Linked DNA regions of Cricetulus griseus. The protein of the gene in region 1 purifies or fractionates together with the protein of each later gene. This does not show direct contact. Links are inferred from orthologs where the notes say so. Each region holds a gene or a part of one and is shown on either strand. Other genes may lie near its edges.

What was found.
Region 2: the proteins of Setdb1 (region 1) and Atf7ip purify together in Homo sapiens (affinity purification with mass spectrometry; 6 studies listed by BioGRID and IntAct, counting the BioPlex papers as one, with this or other methods). This does not show direct contact. The link is inferred for Cricetulus griseus from reciprocal best matches to the Homo sapiens genes SETDB1 and ATF7IP.

What each region holds. Positions count from the first base shown.
Region 1 is NW_023276806.1:61,136,973-61,141,330, forward strand, and holds the start of Setdb1 (histone-lysine N-methyltransferase SETDB1), read left to right. Parts: upstream 1-1,286; 5' UTR 1,287-1,451; intron 1,452-1,603; exon of another isoform or gene 1,604-1,728; intron 1,729-2,034; 5' UTR 2,035-2,145; intron 2,146-2,304; 5' UTR 2,305-2,313; coding exon 2,314-2,573; intron 2,574-4,358. UniProt on the Homo sapiens protein: Histone methyltransferase that specifically trimethylates 'Lys-9' of histone H3. H3 'Lys-9' trimethylation represents a specific tag for epigenetic transcriptional repression by recruiting HP1 (CBX1, CBX3 and/or CBX5) proteins to methylated histones.
Region 2 is NC_048601.1:12,458,506-12,462,787, forward strand, and holds the start of Atf7ip (activating transcription factor 7-interacting protein 1), read right to left. Parts: upstream 3,068-4,282; 5' UTR 2,780-3,067; coding exon 2,763-2,779; intron 1-2,762. UniProt on the Homo sapiens protein: Recruiter that couples transcriptional factors to general transcription apparatus and thereby modulates transcription regulation and chromatin formation. Can both act as an activator or a repressor depending on the context.

The DNA.
Region 1 (4,358 bases):
GGTGATTTGGAGGTTCAGAATTTGGGTAAAACCGTTTCCAGATAAATAAATTTTATATAGATATCTCAAAGGTCATGGTGGCTGAGAAAAAAAACGGAAGTAGGTAGATTTTTGTCTTGTCCTCATAGCAAGTTCCAGGCCAAACAAGATTACATACTAAGACCCTATGTAAAAAACCACTACCACTAAGCTCTTGTTTCTATCTGCATATCAGCTTCCTTTGGCCTTCCAAGCAGGGCTATGTGAGGGCAGTGGAAGGAGAGAACAGTTTATATGAATTTGGCAGTTTATCTATACAACTGTTCTTACCATTCCCTGGGCCTAAAAGGGGGTGGGGTTTCCTGGTCAGATCTGTGCTGGAAGTGCTTGCATTCAAAGATGAATAGGCAGAAAGAATCGAGAAACAAAGCAAGCGAAACACAAGATGAAACCCCACCAAAAATGGGGGTGGGGGTGGGGGGTAGAAATCTGGAGATATTTGAACCAAACCCTGAGATAGAGCCAAAGCTCTGAGTAAAACCAGAGGAGGTACCACAAGAGGAGAAAAAAAAAAATCAAAAGAGACAAAAGCAACTTTTAAGGAAAGGCTGATTCAATATCTTCAGGAACTTAAAGAGGACACACAGACATTTCAGCAATGACACTATGTCGAGAGAAGCAGATGAAACACGCATAAGGACAATGAGAAAAATACATGCAGACAAAATAATTAACACACAAAATAAAATTTAAAACGAGAAAAATAAAACAAGAGTCCCATTGGCTTTTTTGTTTATGTTTTTTCGAGACCTTTGGAGGCTGTCCTGGCACTCGCTCTGGAGACCAGGCTGGCCTCGAACTCACAGAGATCCGCCTGCCTCTGCCTTCCGAGTGCTGGGATTGAAAGCGTGCGCCCCCGACAAGAGTCCATTTGTATATCACACACATAAACGTTAAAGTCGTAAAGGACCAAAGACCGCGCAAATCTCAGTGGTGGAATTTTGATTTTTTGTCTATTTGTATTTTTCATACTTCCTGAAATGAACACGCATTAACTTTGCTAAAAATGACAGCTTTATGACTAAAAAATATTTTCAAAACTATTTTCGGCCGCTAGTTGGGGAGGAGCTTCCGTAAAACATTCCTGAGCCAGCCGGCGTTGCCCAAACAGTTTCTTTTCCGGAAATGCGCTACTTGACGCATGCGTAAACTTCTTAGGTTCCCACAGTCCTTATCCCGCCGCGCTGGGGAGTAAATTTGACCCTTTCGGGCTACCGTTGAGCGGGCCGGAAGGACGCTCGATTTTGCTTCCGGGCCTTTTGCTTTTCCCTCTTGATCCCTCACGCGCCTTCCCCACCCCCGCTCTCTCGCTCTCTCGTGGGTTTCTGTGTTTGTGGGCGAGGCCGAGCCCTGGAGTCGGAATCTGGGGTCCTCGTGGTTGGGAGCCGCAGTGGTGAGGAGGGCTGGCTGAGGTAGGCTGAGGCGGGGACCCCGTGGTTTTCTCGTGGGAGGCGGCAGCTGTGTGTAGACACCTGGCGGAGAGCGGAGCCGGGCGGGGGCGGGGCCGAGCGGGGCGGCGGGGCCGAGGCCGCGGCGGGGGCGGAGGCGGGGCGGCAGCGGGTGGGCGTGAGGCCGGGCGCCCGGGAGGCCCGGGAGCCGCTGCGCTCCTTCCCTTGGTGGCCGAGCCCCGAGCGCGTGATTCGAGTGTAGAGGTTGTGTGGCCTCTGCTGCAAGCTGTGCTCTGTGCAGGTAGCAAAGACCTCGTGTTTCCTCCTTTCCTTCCCTCCTGCTGGACGCAGACTCCGGGCCGGGTGCAGCCGAGGACCCCTTCCCCTGTGCAGCAACCCCCTGCCTGGTCGTAGGAGTTACTTCCCACGGGGAAGCAAAGTAACGTAACGGGAGAAAAGGTGTCAAAACCCAAGATGGAAGTAGTTAGTTACGGCCCAGCTGTGTCCAGGTGGACGTGGTACTTCAGCTTAGACACAGCGCAGAGACGGATTCGTCTCCTTGATAAACAGGGAGCACGTTAGCTCACAGAAATACCTTCCTTTGTAGACAAGCACGCTTCAGTTTTGCGAATCATTGTTTTGGGCAGCTCTCTACTGCAGACCGGTGTTCTGCAAGCCCTCCAAGCTCTTCCTTAGGCCCGTGGGTCTGTGTGAGAAGGTGAGCTTCCCCAGAAAAATCTCCGGGTCGCATTCTGGTGAAGGAGGAGAGAGAACAGACTGTGAACAAGAGCTTGCAGGATAGGAGTGCGTTTTATGGTGAGGCTGAAATTGCCGGCTTTTTGATGTCAGAGTCATCGTGGTTCCTTGTTCTGCACAGGGCAAAAGCATGTCCTCCCTCCCTGGGTGCGTTAGTTTGGATGCAGCAACAGCTGCCCCTGACTCTGAAGACATGACTGAGCTGCAGCAGGCAGTGGTTGAAGAGCTGGGTATCTCTATGGAGGAACTTCGCCAGTTCATTGATGAAGAGCTGGAAAAGATGGACTGTATACAGCAGCGCAAGAAGCAGCTAGCAGAGTTGGAGACGTGGGTGCTGCAGAAGGAGTCTGAGGTGGCTTATGTTGACCAGCTCCTTGATGATGCATCCAGGTAAGGATTCATGGGAGCAAAAGTACCGTCCGTTTGCATGCTTGTTAGGGTGATTGTTCATAGCAGAGTTCAGCCATGTAGGGCCTAACGCTTCCTTGGGTTTTTGTTGTTGTTGTTGTTGTTTTTGTTTTTTTGAGACAGGCTTTCTCTGTGTAGCTCTGTAGATCAGGCTGGCCTCGAACTCACCATAGATCCGCCCACCTCTGCCTCCCTAGGGCTGGGACTAAAGGTGTGTCATCACAGCCCTGCCTTCCTCAGGGTTTACAGTGCAGAGTTGCAGCATACACTTTTCATCCGAGTGTGAGGCAGCTGGTACACGGTCAGCAGTATGGAGGTTAAAGGTTTGAATTCCTTTGTCTTCCTCCTTCTTTCTTAAGATGACCAGGAAGTGAAGATAGTAGAGTTGATGTTTTCTTTTTTTTCCCTTTCTTTCTTTGGTTTGGTTTCTTTTTTTTCCCCCCCAACGTGGGGGTGTGGTGGGGGCTGTTTTAAGATAGGGTTTGTCTGTGTAACAGTAAGATCAGGCTGGCTTCGAACTCACAGAGATCTGCCTGTCTCTGTCCCCTGAGTGCTTGGAATGAAAGGCACTTAGCACTACCACCCAGCTCTGTTTTTCATTTTGTTGTGAGACAGAATCTCAATGTGTAACTTTAGCTGGCCTGAAACTTGCGGAGATCTCCAGAGTGAGTGCTGCAGTTACAGCACCCCAGCTTTGGTTTGGTTGGTTTTTTAGGGTCTCACCACTAGCAGAGTGTAGCCTTGAATTTGCTTGGTCATGATCTCCACCCTCCTGATGTTGCTCTTTTACATCCGCAGTGTTGGGATTATAGGTGTGGGCCAGCATGCCCGAGTTACGGGTTGTGTTTGGGATTGCACCAAGGGTTAAGCAATCATTCTGCCAGTTGAGCTAAATCGTCAACCTCTCAACTTGCTGTCTTTAACTGTGAAACATTAACAAATTCCAATCAGATTGCCACAGCAACTTCAGTCAACCAAGTAGATGATGTTAGTATTGCACTCAGGTGAATTTTGGATTGTTGATAAACTAGTTGAAAACTGTTGCAACTACTTACTTGTTTTGGTTTTTGGTTTTGAGGGAAAGTTTCTCTATGTGTCTTTGGCTGTCCTGGAACTCTTTCTGTAGTTCAGGTTGGCCTCAGCAGAGGATCACTCGGAAAGATCCTCCTGCTTCTGCCTCTTGAGTACTAGGAGTAAAGGCATACATCACCATTGTCCAGCTTATGTATTTTCCTTTTTTTTTTTCCCCCTTGGATGTAGTGTCTCTTTACATGACTCTGGCTGCCTTGGAATTCACTATGTAGACTGACGGCCTGGAACTCATAGAGATCCCCCTGCCTTTGCCCCTGAAATTAAAGGTGAAGGCATGTGCCATCCTTCCTGTATAAATTAAGCCACTATTTAAAACTGAAAGGGGTAAACTAAACTAAAAGGCTTCTAATAATTTAAAAATAAAGGGACCAGACCCTCACTCAGCTCCCTGCTTTAGCAGCCATGACCGGGTACAGAAAAGACAGGTAGGCCTCTAACACAAAGAAACTCTAGATCCTCTGGCCTCCTGGAGCGTCGTGCCAAAACTAAAGACAAAGAAACTCCAGAACCCCCTCCCCCGCCCCAACTTTGTAGGTTCTTGGATCCTGGGAACTGTTTGGCCACAAAAGAAGCTCCAGGGGAGTCAGAAGCCTCCCCTGTAGTCTCCAGGATACAGTTCTAAAAACTATTGGTATCTATGTATGATAGGCCACCTGCAAGTAACAAGACAAAACC
Region 2 (4,282 bases), on another chromosome or scaffold:
TGACAAGGCATGTGACATTTGAGAATAAACTGAAGAAATGAAATGAGCCAGTTTCAGAAAAAGGTAACCAAAAGGGGATTCATATTGAAATGTCGACTTGAATCAATGAACTTTTGAGACTTACACTAAATCTATTTTTAAGTAGCCTATGAAAAGGGGTAAGCGATAGGGAGGAGAAAGAAGAATGGACAATATAAATGGCCTCAAGAATTCAGTTTCCAAGCCAGGCAGTGGTGGTGCATGCCTTCAGTCCCAGCACTTGGGAGGCTCTGTAAGTGCAAGGCTAGCCTGGTCTACAAAGCAAGTTCCAGGAAAGTCAGGACTACACACAGAGGGCCACAGCTACAGACAGAGAAACCCTGTCTCAAAAAGCCAAAAATTAATAATAATAATAGTAGTAGTACTAGTAATAAATAAGTAATTCATCACAGAAATTTTAAAGCTGCAACCAACACAAAATTATCCAAGATCTAGTCTATGCTTATAGAAATGGAAAACAGCAATGTAAAGTTAGCAATGATAGCCTAAGTAACCAGAGTTTAGATTTCCCCATGCATAACTGGTAAGTATGAGTGTAAACTCTACACTCAGCAACAAAAGGCAAAAAACGTGAATGCCAACATAAACTGTTCACTAATGTCAACCTAATCCATTTTCCTCCACATTAAAGACCAAGTGGCTATCTTCAGATCTACATATTTAAATCCCATAATCCCCTTCCATTCTTCCACCAAGACACTGAACTACTCAGACATGAAAAGGAGTGACTGAGGCTGGAGTAGTTCCCTCTCCTGTCATGCTACTGAGCAGAAAGGAAAGCAGACTTGCTCACACGTTCACACAAAGCAAGTTTTCCTGTTTCTGTTTTTGAGGCAAATGAACATTTCCAGGTGATTATATGAATTATCATTCAAATTATGATGAGTCATCATTTTACTTGTGATTAAATTACAAAAAATTTATATTAAACTTGTATGTATATATCTATGTATATAGATACACACACTTTATATATATATATAAAACCAAGAGCAAGTATAAATTTATGTTTATGACAAGGTAGCAATTTTCAACTATTAAGTAGCAGATCTAATATTTTAGTCTACATCTTTAAGAAAACAAAAAAAGAAAGAAAAAAGTAGATGCATTCAAGGATAAATTTCAAACAGAATTCCATAGTGCATTAGAGGCTAAGTGAACTAGATCTGCACAATAATATAAACTTCTAAACGTCATATGTGCTCTCATTTCGAAGTTTTGTTATAATACCTCATTTATTAAATACAATTATAACAAGTAAATTTTATAAATCCATACTATAAAATAAGTACAAAATAAAATTTCATGTGTAAGCTTTTAATATGTTGGATATGTTGGGGCCTTCCCTAAGAATTTAAGAATTTGCAAAAATCTAATTATTTGCTGTTTTAAAAGTTGCTTTTAGAACCAGACTTGGTAGTACTTGCCTATAATTCTGGGAGGCTGAAGCAAGAGGATTGCAAAGTCAAGGCCAGATCTGTTTTTAAAAAAGTAAAAACAGAGAAGGAGGGGTAAAAAGAGTAAAACCTTACAAAAATGGAAAATAAAAGCTCTATACAGAATGTTCAGAACTGTTCTCTATTGTATTAGTCAAGAATATGTTTAAAATATTCTATTGACACAATTACAGGAGTATAATGTACCATTCAGAAAACAATTCAGTAATTACTATAACTGAAGCACCGCTTAAAATGTAACTGTTCTCCCCAAATTATGTGATTAAATTCCATTCCCTCTTTTGGGAATCCATGGCAGCATGTATGCATGTGATCCCAGTCCTGGAGAGACAGAGGCTGGAGGTAAGGGGCCCAAGGCAACCTAGGCTACTCAGCAAACTAGAGCCAACACTGGACCACACTGAGATCATGTCTAAAGAAAGAAAAAGGAAGGAAGAAAAATTTATTCTCCCAACTTGCTAGGTAACCATGAAACTGTATACTCTACTAGTTCAGCAAATATTTCTGTTTTACAATGCTAAAAAACCTTTAAATTTATAATCCCTTTGAATGTTAAGTTTTAAATATACATAATAATGTCACTTAGTTAATTAAAACAGTATTTATTCCAGCTCTCTAGTTATCAGTCTACATTAGATTTTAAAAATAAAAAGGTCTGAGGTCTATATGTAAAATTATTCTAAAATTTAAAATCTGGATTCAAATGTCAATTCAAACAAAAAATAAAGAAAAAGTGAGATATTATAAATATATATTAATTATAAAATAAAAAGCAGTACATGAGAAAGCACTGAAGCATATAATAAAAAATAAAAAAGACACTATTTTTCTGATTTATATAGCAAATTAGTACTTTTTACAAAGCTACCAAATAATAACTCATTTTAAAAAGCAGAAACTCCTCTTTCCAAAGAAGGCTAATTTATAATTTCTTTTAAAAAATGCTCAATTAATACATTGTTTGAATTTCTACAAATATCTAATGAATTAACTATCCAATACACAAGGAGTAATAAGTCACTCGAGTTTGAAAAGCACTACTGTGGTGATCAAATGTTCTGGCAATGACAACAAAATGGTGAGAAATCACAGGAATTTAACCTTTGACCTCACCATCCTAATATACTGTTTCTCTAATATAGGTTTACTGCTCTTAGAAAACGTTGCAACTTCTTCACAGGCAAATTCTCTTTCCTATACAAAGCTGGTTATGTTCAAATGTTTTCTAATTGTAATGTTTAAAGATAAAAGCTTACTGGTTCTTACCTCAGATCCTGATGCATGTGACAAGTCTCTTCACTGGCAGATCTGCTGCCTAAGCAGCCTCAGAGATTGGGTTAGCAGCCATTTTGAGACAGCTGCACAGTCTCAGTTGCACAAAAGTGTAATTAAGATGGCTGCAACGTGCACTCAAGAACTCACACAGTGAAAACTCAGCCATGTATCAAAGAAAGCCCCGCCCACTTTGTCAGCCTGCAGGAAACTGAACACAGATAGCTAATGCATATACTGCAACAAACAATGCAGCTACTTAGCACACAGAAAAAGAAAACGGAAGGCAACAAGCCAGTTTTACAACAAAATGCCTGTGAATCCGGACTTGCAACAGACTTTGGGCACATTCCGATCCCAAACAACTTGAAATCCATGCCACATTTTAGCAGTTACAGAGATAGAGCCAGATCACACAGAGCAAACACTAGGGAATTCGCCTGAAAGAAAGCCTCCATTTCAGTCCAGAAAAAAAGGGGAGGAAAAAAGTCAAACCCCTCAAACCCAGCTCAAGACCCTTTTTTTTTTTTTTTACTTTTTCTTCTTTACCTTTAATAGAATACATCCATCAAAAGAAGAGTGTCAAATTTGTTTAAATCTTATATTCATTAGATCAAGTTAATTTTAATCTTAAAAAGCTAATTAAAAATTTCCCCACAGAATCTAATCTTCAGAAGTGCTCAATCCAAGTTTACAACCACATTTTCTAATTTTAACAATAAAGTCTAAGGTGGCAACAAAGCTTAATTTAGTAATTTCTCATAAAATCAAACATTTCTTCTCTTTGTGGTCCAGATGTGACAGACACACTCTCAGGTGGCACAGGAAAAAGTCAGGGAGGATGCAGACTCTCTGGGAAGGAAAAGTAGGGAGGACAAAAGGGTCCAGGCCAGTCTGGAAGAGGGACCGACACTTAGCCAAATCTGAGAACACTGCCAGCAAAACAGGCCTGGCACAGACACAGGCGGGCGGGCGCAGAACAGGCGAAAGGGAGGCAACACAAAGGACCTCTTCTGCTTCCTTTGCCATCAGCTATGGAGCCCAGTTTCTTCCATCTTCTTTGGTATTCAGTCCTCAAGTTTAATTACCCTGTGTCATGTCTATCGAAATGTTGGCATTTCTTACAACTTTTTAAAAGAGGTGGCAAAAACCAACTAAAAGACGATCATTGTCTCATTTTATGTACATATTTGAAACATTCCATAAAATGTGTCTAATACTTGGCCTTGAAAGAGGCCTTTATTCACTTTTCCATGAGATGGACTGGATAATATCTTTGAAAACTGCCATATGTGCAGGAAACAAGACACATGACACGTGATCCAAGCCGTATCGGATCACAGTCTGGGGACCAGGCTTGGGCCTTGAGCATGCTAAGGAAGCCTCCCGCCACACCGCTCCTGCATAAAACAACCCCCGTTGTTTTATCAGGGTTTCATCATTGTAACGAAACCCTGAGTTCTCTGTATACTCAAGCTGCCCTCAAACTTGGAACCCTCCTGCATCCACCCCTT